Linked DNA regions of Arabidopsis thaliana. The protein of the gene in region 1 purifies or fractionates together with the protein of each later gene. This does not show direct contact. Each region holds a gene or a part of one and is shown in the gene's direction. Other genes may lie near its edges. The genes, in order: MURE, TRX z, SWI3B and FLN2.

What was found.
Region 2: the proteins of MURE (region 1) and TRX z fractionate together in Arabidopsis thaliana (co-fractionation; one large-scale study listed by BioGRID). This does not show direct contact.
Region 3: the proteins of MURE (region 1) and SWI3B fractionate together in Arabidopsis thaliana (co-fractionation; one large-scale study listed by BioGRID). This does not show direct contact.
Region 4: the proteins of MURE (region 1) and FLN2 fractionate together in Arabidopsis thaliana (co-fractionation; one large-scale study listed by BioGRID). This does not show direct contact.

The regions. Positions count from the first base shown.
Region 1 is NC_003070.9:23,612,601-23,618,455, forward strand, and holds MURE (ALBINO OR PALE-GREEN 13), read left to right. Parts: upstream 1-1,739; 5' UTR 1,740-1,860; coding exon 1,861-3,721; intron 3,722-3,833; coding exon 3,834-3,950; intron 3,951-4,038; coding exon 4,039-4,214; intron 4,215-4,351; coding exon 4,352-4,497; intron 4,498-4,628; coding exon 4,629-4,647; 3' UTR 4,648-4,816; exon of another isoform or gene 4,817-4,958; 3' UTR 4,959-5,312; downstream 5,313-5,855. UniProt on the Arabidopsis thaliana protein: Involved in chloroplast biogenesis. Required for thylakoid membrane development. Seems to be required for plastid-encoded plastid RNA polymerase (PEP)-dependent gene expression.
Region 2 is NC_003074.8:2,122,324-2,126,672, forward strand, and holds TRX z (Thioredoxin z), read left to right. Parts: upstream 1-1,831; 5' UTR 1,832-1,952; coding exon 1,953-2,183; intron 2,184-2,498; coding exon 2,499-2,621; intron 2,622-3,228; coding exon 3,229-3,309; intron 3,310-3,405; coding exon 3,406-3,522; 3' UTR 3,523-3,833; downstream 3,834-4,349. Other genes in the region: IMPA-1 (importin alpha), read left to right, coding at 389-517, 619-746, 851-1,232; GATA15 (GATA transcription factor 15), read left to right, coding at 4,335-4,349. UniProt on the Arabidopsis thaliana protein: Thiol-disulfide oxidoreductase that plays a role in proper chloroplast development, most likely through regulating plastid-encoded polymerase (PEP) dependent chloroplast transcription.
Region 3 is NC_003071.7:14,227,014-14,231,960, forward strand, and holds SWI3B (switch subunit 3), read left to right. Parts: upstream 1-1,958; 5' UTR 1,959-2,009; coding exon 2,010-2,172; intron 2,173-2,266; coding exon 2,267-2,676; intron 2,677-2,762; coding exon 2,763-3,173; intron 3,174-3,527; coding exon 3,528-3,654; intron 3,655-3,742; coding exon 3,743-3,873; intron 3,874-3,968; coding exon 3,969-4,136; 3' UTR 4,137-4,395; downstream 4,396-4,947. Other genes in the region: CRL2 (NAD(P)-binding Rossmann-fold superfamily protein), read left to right, coding at 224-393, 467-652, 727-892, 988-1,177, 1,353-1,485. UniProt on the Arabidopsis thaliana protein: Component of a multiprotein complex equivalent of the SWI/SNF complex, an ATP-dependent chromatin-remodeling complex, which is required for the positive and negative regulation of gene expression of a large number of genes.
Region 4 is NC_003070.9:26,014,086-26,018,883, forward strand, and holds FLN2 (fructokinase-like protein), read left to right. Parts: upstream 1-1,938; coding exon 1,939-1,979; intron 1,980-2,227; coding exon 2,228-2,562; intron 2,563-2,644; coding exon 2,645-3,297; intron 3,298-3,377; coding exon 3,378-3,849; intron 3,850-3,936; coding exon 3,937-4,280; downstream 4,281-4,798. Other genes in the region: AT1G69190 (Dihydropterin pyrophosphokinase / Dihydropteroate synthase), read right to left, coding at 1-496, 621-624; AT1G69210 (Uncharacterized protein family UPF0090), read right to left, coding at 4,498-4,797. UniProt on the Arabidopsis thaliana protein: Required for proper chloroplast development, most likely through regulating plastid-encoded polymerase (PEP) dependent chloroplast transcription.

The DNA.
Region 1 (5,855 bases):
CCAAAGATAGTATATGTGATTGTCCAAAAATTGTCAAGGGACACTGATAAGCGTCCAAAAGATCCAAAATAAGAGTAAAAAAAAAGAGCTTATAAGATGATATATTTCATAGTGAGAACGATAAAGCGTAGTTGTATTTGTTAAAATATCCAGTGTGAAGTGTTACATTATAAATGATGAATGTCTATCAAGTTTTCCATACATTTTTTTTCATAAGATCAAGAGAAAATAAAGAGAATTATATCTTCTTCTTTTTTAAAGAAAACACAATTAAGAGATAAATAATTAAATCATGTACATTATAGCATGTGTAGGTCACGTGTTATGAAAATGGGCTGAAGAAAGTGTAGAAGTGAGGCCCAAGACGAAGGGACCACAAAGGGTGTATTAAACCAACTCAACTGTACATGGCGGTGGTCGGTCCACGTTCCAAATTAAAGTGGCCATGTGGTTTTATCGTCTTCTATCAACGACCAAAATACGGCTCTCCAAATAAGAGAAAAACAAATACAAAACTACGTTATACTACTAACTGACTTTAGTGCAAAAAAACTTAATATAACTTAGGCTCTTAATGATCATGTACATGGCGGGACAGATTTGTATGCATAGCAGATAATATAATATCAAAAATCATGAAATTTTGGATGCAATTCCATCTCTTTTACACCCATTTCTCTACTAGGGCGTTAGAAAGTCTAACATTAGAAGTTGGACTTTAGTTACTCAATGCCAATTAGAATCTAAACTTCGGCCAACTATAGATAAAACCATTAGCTTTTTACAAAATCAAGAAATAAAATCAACCTCTTATGTCAGAAAACCAAGAGCCATCAATCTTTTTCTTCTATAAACAATTCAAATAAAACGTTTGTTTGGTTCTCTGCAACAACATAGCAAATTAGCAATCATTAAGCAATTTTGTCTACTCATCAAACAAAAATATTTCTCTGTAACGAAAAAAAGATAGTGGGCTAATATTATGGGCCATGAGACTGCCTTAGAAGCCCATCCTTTCACTACACACTTTGTAATATACATTAGAAACCCTATAAATTAATACTCGATAAATTAATAAACACGATAAATTAATAAATTTTGCCGGTCGAAGTCGGGCCAATGTAAAAATTAACGAAAATCGATAAGATAATAAAATAATAATTTTTTGAAACCCCTATGTAAAAATATAGTCCCAATAATATCATAAATTAATAATCATAAATCTTAAGCATACATTCTAAGACTAATTTTATATGAAACTTTTATTCAAGCTACAATTGCAACTCTTTTTAGAATAGAGTTGGTATGATCTCTTTTATACTCACATAATTCTTTGCGTATTTGATCCGTCATATTTGGTTTTGTAACATTTTTTCTATGAAAAACCATTGCTAAGATTTTTGTAAAGAAAAATTGATTTAACCTCCACGTTAACGTCGTAGATATAGAGACACTATATCTTGCAGAAAAATAAATTTAAAATATCAAAAATAAAATTAAAGATCTAACATAATTGAATATACAAATAACAAAATATGAGAAAAATACTAAATCGGAAAAGCATTTTTAAAATAATTTAGTATTGTGTTTTACGTTAATATTCTATTAATTACTATTTATTAATTTATAAAATAAATTAATATTATTATAAATTAATAAAAATTTATAGTCCAATCATTATTAATTTATAGAGTTTCTCCTGTACATATCTTTTAATCGTTTTTAGTACACACTGCACCGTTTTATCGGCGTCTTTGATTTCTTTAAACGCATCGTTTGTAACCCAAAAATGAAAAAACCCAACTCTTATCCCCTGGAAAAAACCTTTCACTGCTTGCTTTCTCAGTCTCTCTGTCTCCAATGGCGTTCACCTTTCTCTCTCCTCACCCAGTCTTTCTCTCTCTAACTGGAACAACCTCTTCCTTCTCCTACAAACCAGTTCTCTTACCATTCTCTCGAAATTCCCGTACTCTCACGGTTGCGGCGGGACCTGCTCGCCGGAATTCGTACCCGAACCCTGCTGATGACGATCCACCTGAAGCACCGGAGGATTCAATGCACGGAGTTTCGAAGTTTCAGCAGATCCAGCGTCAAGCTGCTCGTGCACGGAAGCTAGAGGAAGAAGATTTCGAGAAGAATCGGAACACTTATCTCTCCGCTATCGCCGATGTGGAAGACGCGGCGGAGACGGGACGAGATGACGAAGAATCTGGTGGAGACTTGTTCTCTGATATCGATAGAGCAATCTCCATGAAACGTAGTGAGTTTGTTAAGCAAGGATTGCTCAAACCTAATCCTCCCAAAACGGCATCGCTTAAGAAGATTGGGGAGGAGGGAAATGAGGAAGAAGGTGATGTTACTGACGATGTTGATGAGCTTGATGAAGAAGAAGTTGTTGATTTGGATGAAATTGATAAATTAACTGGATTAACAGAGATTTCTGATGAAGAAGATTGGGTTGATGAGGAAGGTAACACTAGGATCAACAAGAAGAAGGAGTTTGGGTCTGATCATCAATTTGAATTCGATTTGGATGATTTTGGTGAATCTAAAGCGAGAATCGTGGAACCTAAGTTCAAAATGTGCTTAGCTGAGCTTTTAGATGAGAGTAAAGTGGTACCAATCTCAGTTTACGGCGATTTAGATGTCGAAATCACCGGGATTCAACATGATTCGCGCGGTGTGAGCGCCGGAGATCTCTTCGTGTGTTGTTTAGGAAGTGAAAATTTCTTGAGTGAAGCAGATAAGAGAGGAGCAGTGGCGGTTGTAGCTAGCAAAGAGATTGATATTGAAGATACTTTAGGTTGCAGAGCACTTGTCATTGTTGAAGATACGAATGCAGTTTTAGCAGCTTTAGCTTCTTCCTTTTATAGGCATCCCTCGAAGAACATGTCGGTGATTGGAGTTACTGGTACGGATGGGAAAACGACTACTACGTATTTGATTAAGAGCCTCTATGAAGCGATGGGTGTGAGAACAGGAATGTTTAGCACAGTTTCTTGTTATATTCATGGCGATAACAAATTGGATACGCCTAATGCTACGATGAATCCTGATGCTGTTTTGGTTCAGAGTTTGATGGCTAAGATGTTGCATAATGGAACTGAATCTTTGGTTATGGAAGCTTCTCCTCAAGAACTTGCTTTAGGGAAATGTGATGAAGTGGATTTCGACATTGCGGTTTTCACAAATTTGACTAGAGAAAATACGGATTTTCGTGGTACTGATGAAGAGTATAGAGATGCTGAAGCCAAGTTGTTTTCAAGAATGGTTGATCCGGAAAGGCATAGGAAAGTGGTTAACATAGATGATCCAAACGCAGCATTCTTTGTCCAGCAAGGGAATCCTAATGTTCCTGTTGTGACATTTGCCATGGAAAACACCAAAGCCGATGTTCACCCGTTAAAGTTTGAGCTTTCCTTGTTTGAGACACAGGTTTTGGTTAATACCCCTCAAGGTATACTGGAGATCTCTTCGGGTTTGTTAGGACGGCATAACATTTATAATATTCTTGCTGCTGTGGCTGTTGGGATTGCTGTTGGAGCTCCTCTTGAGGATATTGTTAGAGGTGTTGAGGAAGTCGATGCAGTCCCAGGAAGGTGTGAGTTGATTGATGAGGAACAAGCTTTTGGTGTTATTGTGGATCATGCAAACACACCTGATGGCTTGTCAAGGCTGCTAGATTCAATTCGAGAGCTTAAACCGAGAAGAATCATTACCGGTATAGATATTTTCTTCCATCTAATAGATACTCTTTGCCTGTTCGGCCGTTCCTATGGTCTTTATATGTGTGGTCATCTGATTATTTTAGTTGTTTTATTTATTTATTGAAGTTATTGGTTGTGAGGGTGAGAATGAAAGAGGGAAAAGACCGCTTATGACGAAAATTGCTACTGAAAAGAGCGATGTGACGATGTTGACATCTGATAATCCGAGGAATGAAGATCCATGTAAGTAACTCTAAGAATTAGATTGAGTCTATCTCCCTTGAGTGTTTCTGGAGGTATATTAACAGTTAATTTTCCAATGTGGTTTTAGTGGACATCTTGGATGACATGTTGTCTGGGATTGGATGGACGATGCAAGAGTATTTGAAACATGGCGAACACGATTACTATCCGCCTTTGGCAAATGGTCATAGACTCTTCCTTCACGATATTAGACGTGTAGCTGTACGTTGTGCTGTTGCTATGGGTGAAGAAGGTGATATGGTTGTAAGTATTCAAATAAACCCACACTCTATACAGTACTTTACTGAGTGTGTTATCAAAGTTGCTGGATTTACCTTTATGAGCAATCAAAGTAATATAGTTCTCGGGTAAATAGCTTTGCTTGACACTGATTTTTGCAGGTTGTAGCTGGGAAAGGGCATGAAGCGTATCAGCTTGAAGGTGAAAAGAAAGAGTTTTATGATGACAGAGAGGAATGTCGGGAAGCATTACAATACGTTGATGAGCTTCACCAAGCTGGAATAGACACAAGCGAGTTCCCATGGCGGTAAGTAGAACCGTAACAGCTAAAACAACCAACGATAACCAAAGTTTCTAATCTGTGAAGAGTTGCTGAAACTTGTCAAGATGCTTCACGATCACTAATCTGTTCTTCCTTGTATTACTGTGCTTCTGCAGGTTACCAGAGAGTCATTAATATCTCTGTGGTGAAATCATTAGAAGAGAAGTTAGCTTAGTCCATGAAACCAGATTTTCTTCCACCATGGTCCAATTCTCTTGCGAAGATCGATTTGCACAGAGGTAATGAATTCTACACAAGTGACATAAAAATCATGCCCAAGGAAAAGAGATTACACCACTGGGAGGTACTTAACGTTCCAATCACCATTACCTTAAAGTTATTCCATTGCTCACTTCACCTGTTTTTTTGGACAAGAGGAAACCTAAGCTATCGAAATGTAATATTAGACTAAACTTAATTCAGATTTTCTGTCATTGTTACCGCAGGAGGAAGATTTTAAAGGTGGAAGAAGATGCGTACAAATTTTGTAAGGGTTAAAAACCCAAAAATGTAAGTGGTTCTGTTTTGGGTATGTTTTGATAGCATGTGTTTAATTTAGATGAACCAATTCAAACCGAACCAACAAAAATAGATTCCGGTTTAAATTATTTATTTTCTTACATGTATCCAAACTTGAAAAAAGTGAATTCAAAGAAAAAAGAAAACGATGAAAATACGGTTTCAATTTCTTAATATGAAAAATTGAGAAAGTAGGAAGACATGATTGAACAATAATAAGATTAGGCCTTGTGATATATTGTGACAAGAACATAAATTACGAATGTTTGGCAATGGTGCTAGGGAATATAGTCTTTTGAAACTATTAAGCATACTTTGAATTTTATATTCTGGTTATAAATTAAAAGATTTCCCAATATCCATTCGTATTTTTGGGACCACTCCACCAAAACCAATCTAATCAAAATATAAAACCAAATAAATAATAATTTGCTTAGAGATAGAAAACATGTTATGTCCGAGGAAATTGTCCTAAATGTCGCAACAAACGTCAATTCATTAATCGTTTTGTTTAATACAAATTTCGACAAGATTGTGATAGATCCAGAACCAGTTTAGCTAAACCGGTTGAATCAGAAGAAACGCCAAAACCCGGTCCAATAGCTCGACCTAACGCCGTCGTTTTCAAAGTTCCTTCACTCTACTTCCTTCTCGCTTACGTCACTTTCCACAGATCCAACAATGATATCAGATAAAATTAAAATATTCCCAATATATTTTCTAAGAATATCTCCCTATTTATTTTTATTTATTTAAACTATTTTAATCTCTTCCGTGTTTCACTCTTCTCTCTCTCTCGCTTCTCTTCATTGTTTGTGTGTGAT
Region 2 (4,349 bases), on another chromosome or scaffold:
CGAAGTTAGTGATATACCATGCATATCATCTAATCCAAGACTGGTAATTGCGATGAGGTGTTGTTCAAATGTATGGCACCCTGTTGCTATTATTCATATCCAACATTTTATGTGAAAAATGGGAGTATTGAATGCTTATCATGAGATTCTCCCTCTGTTGCCACTCTGTCCATATTAGCAGATAGGATGCAGTGCCTTTTTTGCTATATATTGCTTGTGTTTGAGTTTTGTTACAATTAATTCTTGTTTTAAAGTTTAAACCAACAACATGCACAAATTTTTTGCTTGGTGAAATTTGGTTTTTCATGAGTTTAGCAAAGGTGATTTTTCTATATCTGAAATAGTTTACATCGTTTTACTTGGAAATCTGATTTTACTTCTTCTCCAGTGCGTGATCAATAGTGGTGCTCTACCTTGTCTTGCCAACCTGCTCACTCAAAACCATAAGAAAAGCATAAAGAAGGAAGCTTGCTGGACGATTTCAAACATCACAGCAGGCAACAAAGATCAGATCCAGGTAGGCAATTAGTACTGTTTCATCATATGTTTTGTACCGTTTCCCATCCAGACTTCTATACCTATTCATTAATTGTGTTGTTTTTCCCCTGATGGTTGCAGACGGTAGTTGAGGCTAATTTGATTTCCCCGTTGGTGAGTCTGCTTCAAAATGCTGAATTTGACATTAAGAAGGAAGCTGCATGGGCAATTTCAAATGCAACTTCAGGTGGTTCTCATGATCAAATAAAGTATGTCACTGTCTTTTTTGCGTTCCTCTAACTTCCAGTTTCTTCTCTCATATATATACTTTGTGTATATATATATTGATGTTCTGTTCCCGTTGGTTATACAGATACCTGGTGGAGCAAGGGTGCATAAAACCATTATGCGATCTCCTGGTTTGCCCAGATCCAAGAATCATAACTGTCTGCCTTGAAGGATTGGAAAACATTTTGAAGGTGGGAGAGGCAGAGAAGAACTTGGGTCACACAGGAGACATGAACTATTACGCTCAGCTGATTGATGATGCAGAAGGGCTAGAAAAGATCGAGAACCTTCAGAGCCATGACAACAATGAGATCTATGAGAAGGCTGTTAAAATTCTGGAGACATACTGGCTTGAAGAGGAAGATGATGAGACACAGCAACCTCCAGGTGTTGATGGTTCTCAGGCTGGGTTCCAGTTTGGAGGGAATCAAGCTCCAGTACCATCCGGAGGATTCAACTTCAGCTGAAGGTAAATAAAAGTAAAAATTCTTAAATTTCTAACAACGTCTCTTGATGAAAACATGCAAAATCTGATATTTAGATCAATATAAACCCACAGGAATGGAATTGGAAGCTTGCAACTTGAGAATGGTGAAAGGTCAGAGTCAGTCAGAGTCTAGTTTCACTGCCATGGTTATACTCCAGGTCTGGTCTGGTCTGGTCTCAGAGGTTTGTACCGGGTGGTCGGTTTAAAAGTACAGCGTCTGAGAAAGTGTTTGGTTCATTGTCCAGGGCTATTTTTTTGAAATGACTGGTACACCGGTCGTGAGTCGACCTTTGTGTTGTTTTTAAATTTTGGAGGGTTATAAAAACTTACAGTGGAGTCTTTTGTTTTTGTGTTGACAACAGTTTGTATGTCGGTTAAAAAATTGAAACCATAAACCCTTTATTGGTCTTAATATGTTTGGTGTCTGATTTCCTAAGGAAAGGTTTTTTTTTTTTTGGTCAAACCTAAGGAAGGGTTTATCTTCGAGTTATAAAGACTCGAATCTTTATTTGAATTATGAAGTAAAGTATACATAAAACAGCAATAAATTATTATGAATTTGACTTTACCTGAGCAAGTAAATTGTAAAAAGACAAGAACTAATGAACTATTAGTATATGTCCAGTTCAATTGCCTTATCGTCTAAAACCCCTCAAAAGCTAAAACTGAAATCATTTTGAAGCAGAAATCGATTTCCAAAATGGCTCTTGTTCAATCCAGAACTTTTCCACACCTCAACACTCCGTTATCGCCGATTCTATCCTCCCTCCATGCTCCGTCTTCTCTCTTTATCCGGAGGGAAATCCGACCGGTAGCCGCGCCGTTCTCCTCCTCCACCGCCGGAAACTTGCCCTTCTCGCCGTTGACGCGTCCGCGAAAGCTTCTCTGTCCTCCGCCTCGCGGCAAGTTTGTCAGAGAAGATTATCTTGTGGTACGGACAATTTCTCGCTTTCTCTCACGCTCCAAACAACATATTTTGTCGATTTCAAAAAATTTCATGTTTGTTTTCGTTTTACGACTTCCTTTTTCGCCTTTCTGGGAAATTAAGTTGGCTGGGCATAGATGTAGTTATTATATAAGAACGATATATGGTAGTTCTATCAAAGATTCGACCAGTACACTGTTAAATACTTCAGAATAGAGATTTGCTTAATTTGAATCTTATGAATGACTCTTGTTGATACCATCATGTGGAAGCCTCACTGATTTCTGGATGTTTTTTGTTCCTTTTCTTATGGTTTGACAGAAGAAATTGTCAGCTCAAGAACTTCAGGAACTGGTGAAAGGAGATAGGAAGGTGCCGTTGATTGTTGATTTTTATGCGACATGGTGTGGACCTTGTATCTTGATGGCCCAGGAACTAGAAATGGTACCATGGATTCTCATAACTCAACTTTCTTACACATTCTCCATTTCACTTGCTTCATGTGTAGACTCTAGAATGCTTATATATTTCCAAACGTTGGCTCTTGGAACCCGGTTGTTCGTTATAATATACTTGAATCTTGAAATGTGATGGTATATTACTGTTAAGTCTAGTGCAGTACTATTGTAACTTGCATAGGAGTTGGGCAGTGCATTATAGCTTTGGTAGCTCATCAACAAATCTTTACAGTTTACTGAGATCTTAATGTTTAAAGAGGGGCTATGAAAATGTATTGGGGGCACTCTGGATTTGTCTTGGGTCTTGGTTTGGCAATTGACTAGAGTTGAAAGACCGCTCTCATTAATCAAGTCTCTTCTATGGTTTAGTTCTTTTGGTGAATTAGATAAAGGAGTTAAACAGTTCCAATCTTACGACTGTTTCTCCCATACTTTATGACAAAGATACCTTGTCGCGTAGTTGGCATGTCTACAAATTCAAAAGAAATGTGTGAGATAGGAGAATCTAAGCATCTTCTTATTGATTGGCTTTATCTACTTGCTTTTTCACTCATGACACTCGTGTTAAATAGTTTTTGCTCATTGTGAAACAGCTTGCAGTAGAGTATGAGAGCAATGCAATAATCGTGAAAGTTGATACAGATGATGAGTACGAGTTTGCACGCGACATGCAGGTATACTGTAACTTGCAGCTTATGTTTTTAAATTTCATGAATCTCCTCTCAGCATATCAATGTAAATTCTTACATTAACCAACTCTTGTGATACAGGTTCGAGGGTTACCTACATTATTCTTCATCAGTCCTGACCCAAGCAAAGATGCAATCAGGACAGAAGGGCTAATTCCGTTACAGATGATGCACGATATCATTGACAACGAGATGTGAAGTTTTTACTGAGAAAACACTTTTGTACTCTTTATGATTTGATTAGAATCGCCGTAATTTAGGATTGGTACCGTGTTGTTTGCATTTGAGATGTGGTAAGAATGTCTTCTAGTTTCATAGATGAAGAATGTAGTCTTAAGACATTTGTTTGTATGCAGTGTTCGTTTCAATACCTAAGTGAAAAGGTTAGAGCTGTTGATCTGGTCGGATCCAAGTTATGTGGCACATCAAATTCACGATCCGGTCCATGTAATAACACTGTAGCTTAAACTTGGAAGAGAGAGATATGACGTCATTAAAGACTTTTTCCCCATTTCTTGGTTGACATTAAACCGGGACGAAAGTATTATTAAACACCATTATTAGGAAAAACACGACGCCATTCGAAATGGCGCCCAAATTATGCGAAAATTTTCCTACAGGGTTATGTGCGATATTTGGCGGGTGGCTCTAGCCTGATATTAGAGGACGTAAACAGGGGTAATTTCGTCTTTTAAAGCAATAAATTAAAGCTAGGGTTTAGCCGAACCAATTTCATTTATAATTGGCCATTTGGTTTAGTTTTTGTGAGGTATCTGTTGGGTCGTTTCTTTGAAATCAAAAAAAAAAAATCTCTGTTTCTCTGACACTCTCTCTCTCTGTTTCTACTTTCAAGATTCAAATTTTTGTTCCCCTGATCCACTCGTCTTTGAATTCTCATCAAGTCTTATATGTTTCTTGCCTACTCTGATCTCTATCGGAAACCCTAGATCCATATCTTCTTGACTTGACACTAGTTCACGAATCACGATCTGCGGTTCCTGAAGCTGGTAATGCTAGATCCCACC
Region 3 (4,947 bases), on another chromosome or scaffold:
TATCTCTCCCTCTGTAAATTGTCAACCTTTATTCTCTCGCATTTCTAGTTCATCGAATTTTTGTAGCTCAGCCTGGTCAAAATTGATTCTTTCGTCTACTTTCTAAGGTTTTCTATTCCCAATTCTTTTTGTAGCTCCGATGTTTCTGTCTACAGACAGAAGATTAAGCCTTTTGAGTTTGTCTATTGTTCTGATGAAGAGTTTCGCATGGTTCTTGTTATAGGTAATGAAAAGTATGCTCATTTGAAGAAGCTTGATAAAGCTGGTGACAAACTCAAGCTCTTCAAGGCTGATTTGCTCAACTACGGCTCTCTTCAATCTGCTATTGCTGGCTGCAGCGGCGTCTTCCATGTCGCTTGCCCTGTTCCATCTGCTTCAGTCCCTAATCCTGAGGTGAGGATTTCATTTTTACAATCTCATTGGTGGCTATATGCATTGTCTCACTATGGTTTCACTGGTTTTGCAGGTAGATTTGATCGCACCTGCAGTGGATGGTACGCTGAATGTGCTTAAGGCATGCGTTGAAGCAAAAGTTAAGCGTGTTGTGTATGTTTCCTCTGTATCTGCAGTTGCTATGAACCCTATGTGGTCAAAGAGTCAAGTGTTAGATGAGACCGCTTGGTCTGACCAAGATTATTGCAAAAAAACTGAGGTTAATAATGCATCTTGAATCCCTCATCTCACTTTTTTTTCTTCTTTTAAATCTGACTTTCGTCCCTCTGGCAGAATTGGTATTCTTTGTCAAAGACACGAGCAGAAAGTGAAGCTTTCGAATTTGCAAAACGAACCGGACTTGATCTCGTCAGTGTTTGCCCTACCCTTGTCTTGGGACCTGTATTGCAGCAGCACACAGTAAATGCTAGTAGCCTTGTTCTTCTCAAGCTTCTTAAAGGTATTATAAACAAGCCTCTCATTTCATCTGGGATTGTTAGAAGCAGCAACTTGGTATATGAGTTGGTATTGATTTTATACTTAAGTGTGGTGCAGAGGGTTATGAATCGCGTAATAACCAAGAACGGCATTTGGTAGATGTGCGTGATGTGGCTCAAGCTTTACTTTTGGTTTATGAGAAAGCAGAAGCTGAAGGAAGGTACATCTGCATAGGCCACACGGTTAGGGAACAAGAAGTCGCTGAGAAGCTGAAAAGTCTTTATCTAAATTACAACTACCCAAAGAGGTAAGCAAACAACAGCTGCACATCTCTCTACCCAATTTGAGTGAAAACCTTTAAACCTTAATAAGCTGTTTTTGTTACTTTCATCAGTAAACAGTGTCACTTACCTTTACATCAATGTCTCTGAAGTTTCTTTTAGACCTTACCTTTGATCTAAATTCTACTTATCCAATATCAGATACATCGAAGCGGATGGAAAAGTGAAGGTGAGTTCAGAGAAGTTGCAGAAGTTGGGTTGGACTTACCGGCCGTTGGAGGAAACACTTGTGGATTCTGTTGAGAGCTACCGCAAAGCTAAGCTTGTGGACTGAAAACTGGGAACGAATAGCATATGAGTGTTTTGGGTCCATGTGTTAAGTGTTCCTATCTGCACACGCTCTTTCATCTTTTACTCAAGAATAAGAGTTGTGCAACATATTTTCCATCATGAACTTCTGAGTTTTTGTTACTTTCTTAGACACCATTACTTTTATGACCAATCTACAATTACTCCTTCCATAACTATGTTCCAATATCTCTTTGATACGTTCCAATTTCTACCTACTTACAAAGGATAACTTCACCATTAATACATGAAATCAGTAACGCACAACTTCACCATTCGAATTAACCTCTAAGCCTAGCGTAGCAGATGCACTACATCTTGGCTGACCATGGGACTAAAAAAACATTCGCAATATTTAACAACTAAAGCCAGGTTAATGGACCTGTATTAGGGCCCAAACCAGGCCCGTTTAGATATCCGACTTTTTTTTTAACTTTGCCCATCTCGATAGCTAGATTCTCTTTTCCCTCTTCCTTCTCCGGCGAAGTTGCGTTAGTTAAACAGAGAGTCATGGCCATGAAAGCTCCCGATCCCGGCGGATCTGGGGAAATTCTCCCGAGCACTCCCTCTCTTTCCGAAACTACGTCTGGAGGCGCCGCAGCAGCTTCTAAGTCGGCTCAATTGCCGTCTTCTTCTTCCGATATCGATAATATTCACGTACCTAGCTACTCCAGTAAGTCTGCAACGCCGAGAAAACTTTGATTTATTCTACTTTCTTCACTGTTTCTTACGGATTTTGTACTTGTACCGTCTATTTAACCAATTAGGTTGGTTTTCATGGACCGACATTAACGATTGCGAGGTCCGGTCACTGCCGGAATTTTTCGATTCGAGATCTTCATCCAAAAACCCTAAGTTTTATCTCTACTTGAGGAACTCGATTATTAAGCAGTACAGAGACGACCATCCTCGGAAGATTAGTTTCACTGACGTTCGGAGAACTCTCGTCAGTGATGTTGTCTCTATTCGTCGCGTCTTTGATTTCCTCGATTCATGGGGACTTATCAACTATAATAGCTCCGCCTCTGCTAAGCCGCTCAAGTGGGAAGAAAAAGAGGCCGGAAAATCCGCCGGAGATGCTGCTTCTGAGCCAGCCACAACTGTCAAAGAAACTGCCAAGAGAAACTGCAATGGCTGCAAAGCAATTTGCAGCATAGCTTGTTTCGCCTGTGATAAGGTTTGATTTCATAATTTGTAGCCATAGTAATAATTTCATTCACTGAGTTTGTCACTTAGAATGATTATGTACATTTTTGTTTTCAGTATGACTTGACATTGTGTGCGAGGTGCTATGTTCGTAGTAATTATCGTGTTGGTATTAACTCCTCGGAGTTTAAACGAGTTGAGATTAGTGAGGAGTCAAAGCCAGAGTGGTCTGATAAGGAAATTCTGCTGCTGCTGGAAGCTGTTATGCACTATGGAGATGATTGGAAGAAGGTTGCATCGCATGTTATTGGTAGAACGGAGAAGGATTGTGTTTCTCAGTTTGTCAAGCTTCCGTTTGGGGAACAGTTTGTAAAAGAGTCTGACTCTGAGGATGGTTTAGAGATGTTTGATCAGATCAAGGACTCTGATATTCCTGAATCTGAAGGAATAGATAAAGACGGTTCTTCTCCCAACAAGCGGATCAAATTAACACCTCTTGCAGATGCAAGCAACCCAATAATGGCTCAGGTTAGAAAGACACTACAATTTGAGTAGTTGCGTTCTCTCTCTATGTTAATCTTATTTGTATAAGTCTTCAACATGCGTGGAAATGCTTTTACATTGTTAGGCTACTGAAGAATAGTCCAGTGTCTGCACTAGGCTGTTCCACGACTTGCGTTTTTGTCTCCTTAAAGAACCTAAATCTAGAATACCTTGTGGGGCTTACTTTGAAATCTAGTAATAACAAACCCTAGTTGACATATATAAGGCATTTAAGAATCAAATATGTGTTAGATAATTCTGTACTGTGTTATCACACCTCAATTGTTATGCTTCATTGGCTGTCTCTGAATAAGATTTATCCTATCATGTCCTCTTCAGGCTGCTTTTCTTTCAGCTTTGGCTGGCACAAATGTTGCAGAAGCAGCAGCTCGAGCGGCAGTGAGAGCTTTATCTGATGTAGACTACGAGGCTGACAAAAACGCCAGTAGAGACCCAAATCGACAAGGTATCAAAGACCAAGCTGTCTCTATTTGCAGTCCATTTCTGTCCTAAGCCAAACCCAATAGTGACAGTTTTGTTTTCCTGATACACAGATGCCAATGCTGCATCGAGTGGTGAAACCACTAGAAACGAATCTGAAAGAGCTTGGGCAGATGCAAAGTCTTTAATTGAGAAGGAAGAGCATGAGGTAGAAGGAGCAATCAAAGAGACTGTTGAAGTTGAGGTTAGTAACAATCTGCAACTTTCCATAGACTTTTTATTATATGGTTATACTCAATGATGATTTATGTTGGAACAAACAAAATTTGGGATTAACAGATGAAGAAGATCCGAGATAGGATTGTTCATTTCGAGAAATTGGATTTGGAAATGGAGAGAAGCCGGAAACAATTGGAGGAGGTGAGGAATCTGCTTTTCGTTGATCAATTAAACATTTTCTTCCACACCAGAAAAGCCCGGAAAACTGAAGATAGAATAGAGTGTTAGAACGCACTTAATTTGAAACTGTTATTTCTTATTTGATTCTTGTCTGGTTAAGAAGATGACTTGTATTGTAGTGTACTTGAGATGTGTTGGTAACAAAATGAGATGAGATCGAATTGGTATAAATAAGGCTGGGTTGGTATAAAAGTCAAAACCAAATGGCAACTGCGTCGAAGTATAATTTTTGTCTTTATCAGGCAATCACAAGTGGAAAAGTTTTAAAAATTAATTTTGCTCTTTTGGAAACAATAGAAAATGTCAGGGTTTTGGAGATATCCGATATAAAAGATAGATTTTGTTTTCACTAAATAGGTTAATCTTCAAATGTTGTTAAGTTACCGATGTTTTTTTTGTATCTCCGTAACATGATTACTCTCTTTGTTGCTAAAAGAGTGATGGTTTTTATATTAAGAAACAGTCATTAATTAATCATTTCTGTATTGTTTGTTATATTAAACATTTTCAATAACTATAAACCAATAGCAGTCTAACAAATTTCAATCATTTTATCTTGAACTTTACTAGTTCAGGTTTTTCAGACAAACTAAAAAAACATTGAATTTTCTGTTTTATCTCTAATTAATGTGTTATTTAATATCATATCATCAATTAATCAGCCAAAACAATAAGAATTTCTTTTGGAAAATCTTTCAAAAACATGCATTGAAAATATAAAACGATAACTAATTTAATACAAAATTTAATTTCTAAAACATAACTAATTTAGAAAGGAGTGAGTGATATTTAAAAAAAATAAAGAAAAAACGAAAATGTTTTTTTTGTGGGACAAGTTAAAAGTGGTAGAACATCAATT
Region 4 (4,798 bases), 2.4 Mb from region 1:
AAAATTCCACCTGAATGCATTGAGAGTGAATGCCAATATGCAACTATTTTATCATTATCAATATCTTCCGTTCCAAGCAAATCTACCAAAGGTGCTAAAACAAATGGTCTTTCCCAGATTCTCTCATGGGGAATGATAAGTTTATCAGAAATTATCTTGTGCTTTCCATAGAACAATATGTCCAAGTCAAGTGGTCTTGGTCCATACCTTAAACCATTTTCTTCACGACCCATCTCTTTCTCAATTTTCTTGAGAACGTTCAAGAGTTCATGAGGTTTGAGCTTTGTGACACCTCTTATTGCAGCGTTGAGAAATCTTGGTTGGTCGGTCACATGAACAGGTTCTGTTTCGTACAAACAACTGTGTCTGGTTACACTGATCCCATAGTCTTTCATCAATCGTAAAGCTTCTTTGAAATTATTCATTCTGTTTCCAACATTGCTTCCCAAAGCTATCACGACTTCTTCGAAAGTTGTTGTTTCCAAAGATGTGAAATCTGAGTCATATACAAAACATGTTTCGAAGGTGAAATATGATTCAATACTTAACAGAAATTAGTGTATCAAAACGTAAACGCTGTTTTTTTCAACGAAAATGAAACGGATGAAAAAGATACGAACCCATTTTAGAATAGGTTCCTCCAAAATATCAGTATTGTCTGCTTCGATCTGACCTTAAAGTATACAAAACTATGAGTTTAGTCTTAGATAACAACGAAACAATTATTAGAAACACAAAAAATGGGTTCTAATATTTTAAGAACCAAGGAAGTAAACAATACTTATGTATGAGAGAGGCAAGGTGGTAGCCAATTTTCACCTACTTTTTTTCTGAACTTGTTGTGTTATCCAAGTACCTTCTGTCTTTCACGCTCGTCAAAAGTCAGCTTCTCTTTTGAATTAGATATGAAGATCTAGAAAAGAAAAGAAAAAAGAGAAGAAAACTTTGTTTTTAGAGAGATTTTGAAATTGGTAATGAATCTCTCATAATTTTGAAATTGGTAGTGAATCTCTCATAATTCTTTTCATTATCTATTCTATCTTTTACCATTTAAACATATATTTGGATAGATGATGGAAAATTGTGTGTTAGTCTCCAGCTATTTCATTCCATTTTTAAAAAATATCAAAATTTTCATAGATTTGTTCTGACTACATCAATTTTCTTTCATTCCACTCAAGGCACTCATGGTTACATTACCAATAGAAATTAATTAACCATACAAAATTCTAATTATTATAACTCCAGACGATATTATTTTCACTATATAGCAAAAAATAGCCGTTTTACCATAACATATATACAGTCTATATTTTTTGACGAAAAATAAATAAATATACAGTATATATATATATATATATCCTCGTGTTAGAATTGTATTAAGTTTTTCATCACACCATCTTTAGGCATTATTTCTATGCCAATCAAATCATTTACTCGTAAATCATCATAGTAATTATGATTTCAGTTAATCGTAAGTTTTTTGTAGCTTTGTGATGATGAGCCAATTAACTTCACAACAAAATATTTTCCTTGAAGTAGTTTTTTAATAGCAAACGATTTCACGAAAAACTTTACATAACAAATATTTCTACCTACATTAAAAGAATGTCATATAGACAATACTAAATTCACTAGCTTTAAAGAAGAAAAATGAGCCGTAAATAAATTATAGTAGACAGAATAGGGACATCTTGACGTTTTAGTATTTTGATCATAGAATGCTTGCCGTTTCGTTAAAGCGCTAAACCTCCTCCTCATCCTCTCCCAGCTAGCTCCTCTTGCGGTTTCAGAGCTTAAACCCCAATCTCCCTCAAAACTCATAAACATATTGCTCTCCTTTGTTCATTTCTGGGTTTACGCTTCTTTCGACTTTATGGGTTTCGGAGCTTAGTTTTACTACAATTTCGTTTGGAAAAGAGCTCTTATTTGATGTTCATGGCGTCTCTCTCCTTCACCCAATTCTTATCATTCCCCAGGTCCCTTTGCTTCTCTCTCTCTCTTGTTTTCTAACCTTAGGAAATTTTAGTATATGGGTTTCTATGGATTTGGCGTAGAACCAGTTTACTGCCCAAAAATGTGCGAACTTTAAGTTTAGCTCATCTTATCTTTCTACAGAAGAATGGAGTAACAATGATTTGAATTGAGGGCTATATTTGTCTTTCTGTTTGAAAATTTCACATTTTGATGTAATGGTTTTCTCATAGCTGTGCTTTGATTTTGGCAGATGCAATGCAGATGTTCCTTGTCTGCTCCAGTCGCATGGTTTTGTGAAGTTTAGAGGTGAAAGATGGAATGGGAAACAAAGCTTTTCTATGGCTGCTGGTAGGAGAAAGTTATCAGAGTCAGCACCTCTTGAAGAAGAAGGTAATGATGGAAACGGTGCGGTTGTGGGAAAGAAACCATCTAAAAGTGTTAAGAGAACAACGAAGAAGAAGGTTGTGGTTAAGGATGAACCATTAGAAGAAATTTCTGAATTTTTGGTTGATAATGATGATGTTTTAGACAAGGAAAGCATTGTCTCAGCTTTGAAACCAAAAAAGACAAGAACTAGAAAGAAAGGTAATGACTTTTACCATTTCTGAGCTGATGGTTCTCACTTGATGATTCACGAGTACTTAATTTGAATTCGACATATATACAGCTGCAGCAGCTTCTTCTGATGTGGAGGAAGTAAAAACCGAGAAGAAAGTGAGACGAAAGAGGACTGTTAAGAAAGATAAAGATGTGGAGGATGATTTAGCTACTATTATGGATGCTGAGGTTAGTGATGTCGAGGAAGCATTGGCTGTTGAAAGCACTGATACAGAGAGTGAAGAAGAAGAGATTGATCTGAGTAAACATGAAGGTGAAGATATTAGTCACACTTATGGATGGCCTCCTCTCGTGTGTTGCTTTGGATCTGCACAACATGCTTTTGTGCCTTCGGGAAGGCCAGCAAACAGGCTATTAGATTATGAACTACACGAACGGATGAGAGATGCAAAGTGGGCTCCAGAGAAGTATATCCGGGCTCCTGGAGGATGTGCAGGAGGTGTTGCTATTGCTCTTGCAAGCTTGGGTGGTAAGGTTGCTTTTATGGGCAAACTTGGGGCTGATGACTATGGTCAAGCCATGTTGTATTATCTGAATGTGTGCAAAGTCCAAACTAGATCAGTTAAGATTGATGGTAAAAGGGTTACGGCGTGTTCTACTATGAAGATCAGCAAGAGAGGTCGCTTGAAATCGACTTGTATTAAGCCATGTGCAGAGGATTCACTTTCAAAATCTGAAATCAACGTTGATGTGCTCAAAGAGGTAATATATTGTCCTGGAGATTTGGAACATTGAGTTTTTGGCTCTTTTTCTTGTTCACCAATCTCTTAACTTTGGTGCAGGCGAAAATGTTCTACTTCAGCACGCATTCTCTACTCGATAAGAAGATGATGTCAACTACGATACAAGCCATCAAGATATCAAAGCAACTAGGCAATGTCATTTTTTATGACTTGAATCTCCCTTTACCACTATGGCACTCCAGCGAAGAAACCAAGTCTTTCATACAGGAAGTGTGGAATCTTGCAGACGTCATTGAAATCACAAAACAGGAACTTGAATTCTTATGCGGAATCGAGCCTACTGAAGAGTTCGATACAGAAAACAATGACATCAGTAAGTTTGTCCATTACCCGCCAGAAACTGTGGAACAGCTTTGGCATGAAAATCTCAAGGTCTTGTTTGTGACCAATGGCACTTCTAAGATCCATTACTATACCAAAGAGCACAATGGTGCTGTTTCCGGAATGGAGGATGTTCCCATTACTCCTTTTACAAGGGATATGTCAGCATCTGGAGATGGCATCGTTGCAGGTACATTTTCACTTGTGTCATTTGTTTTTCATAGCAATTTGGAAGTTATGCTTGCGATTAACTGAACCACACTACTCTCTATTTCAGGTCTAATAAGAATGCTTACGGTTCAGCCAGATCTTATGAACAATAAAGGGTACCTGGAACGCACAGCGAGATATGCAATTGAGTGTGGTATTATTGATCAATGGTTGCTGGCACAAACCCGAGGATATCCTCCAAAGGATGACATGGAAGAAGAAGAAGATGATGAAGAAGAAGATGAAGTGGAATCAGATCCAAACGGTATAAGATCGATAACAGAGAAGGAATACAGAACCTCAAAGCCTTATGATGAACCAGATGGTCCATACGTTATGAAACCAGTAGAGGAAAGGGAGTACAAGAAGTTAGAGCTTGTTGGCTCAATGTTTGAAGATGGTAGTTTATGATTTTCATAAGATTTGATAATGTTTCTGTTAGTCAGCTTTTTTTTCCTGTTCACATCTTACAACATCTTAGTAGTGTGAATTTTTGTCATATGTTTTGATATCTCACTCACCATCTCAACTAATACAAAATCACTTGAAATTATCCGGAAACAGCAATGTGAAACTGCAGTGACGATGAACTTACTTTAATAGCAACTCTACTTCTACGTCTACTTAACTAATCCAAGTAGAGATTTATCTTCTTGTGATCTGCGAAAGGCAGTGTGATTCTCAAGTCCTTTTGTTTCCGGCTTAACGGTCTGCCTTTGCTTTCGGGATCTCTGTTCTCCCTTACATCTGCTAATTTCCAGACACAGTTATCTGATTCTGCATCTATAGACTCCAAGAGGAACACTCCACTCTTTACTGCTTTCCTCGAGTTTGTTTCTTCTACATAGCTTACTGTCATTGGCATATCCTTGAATCGGGGCAAGTCCTCTGGGACTCTCAGTAGCCTCTCCGCTCCTGGAGATGACACC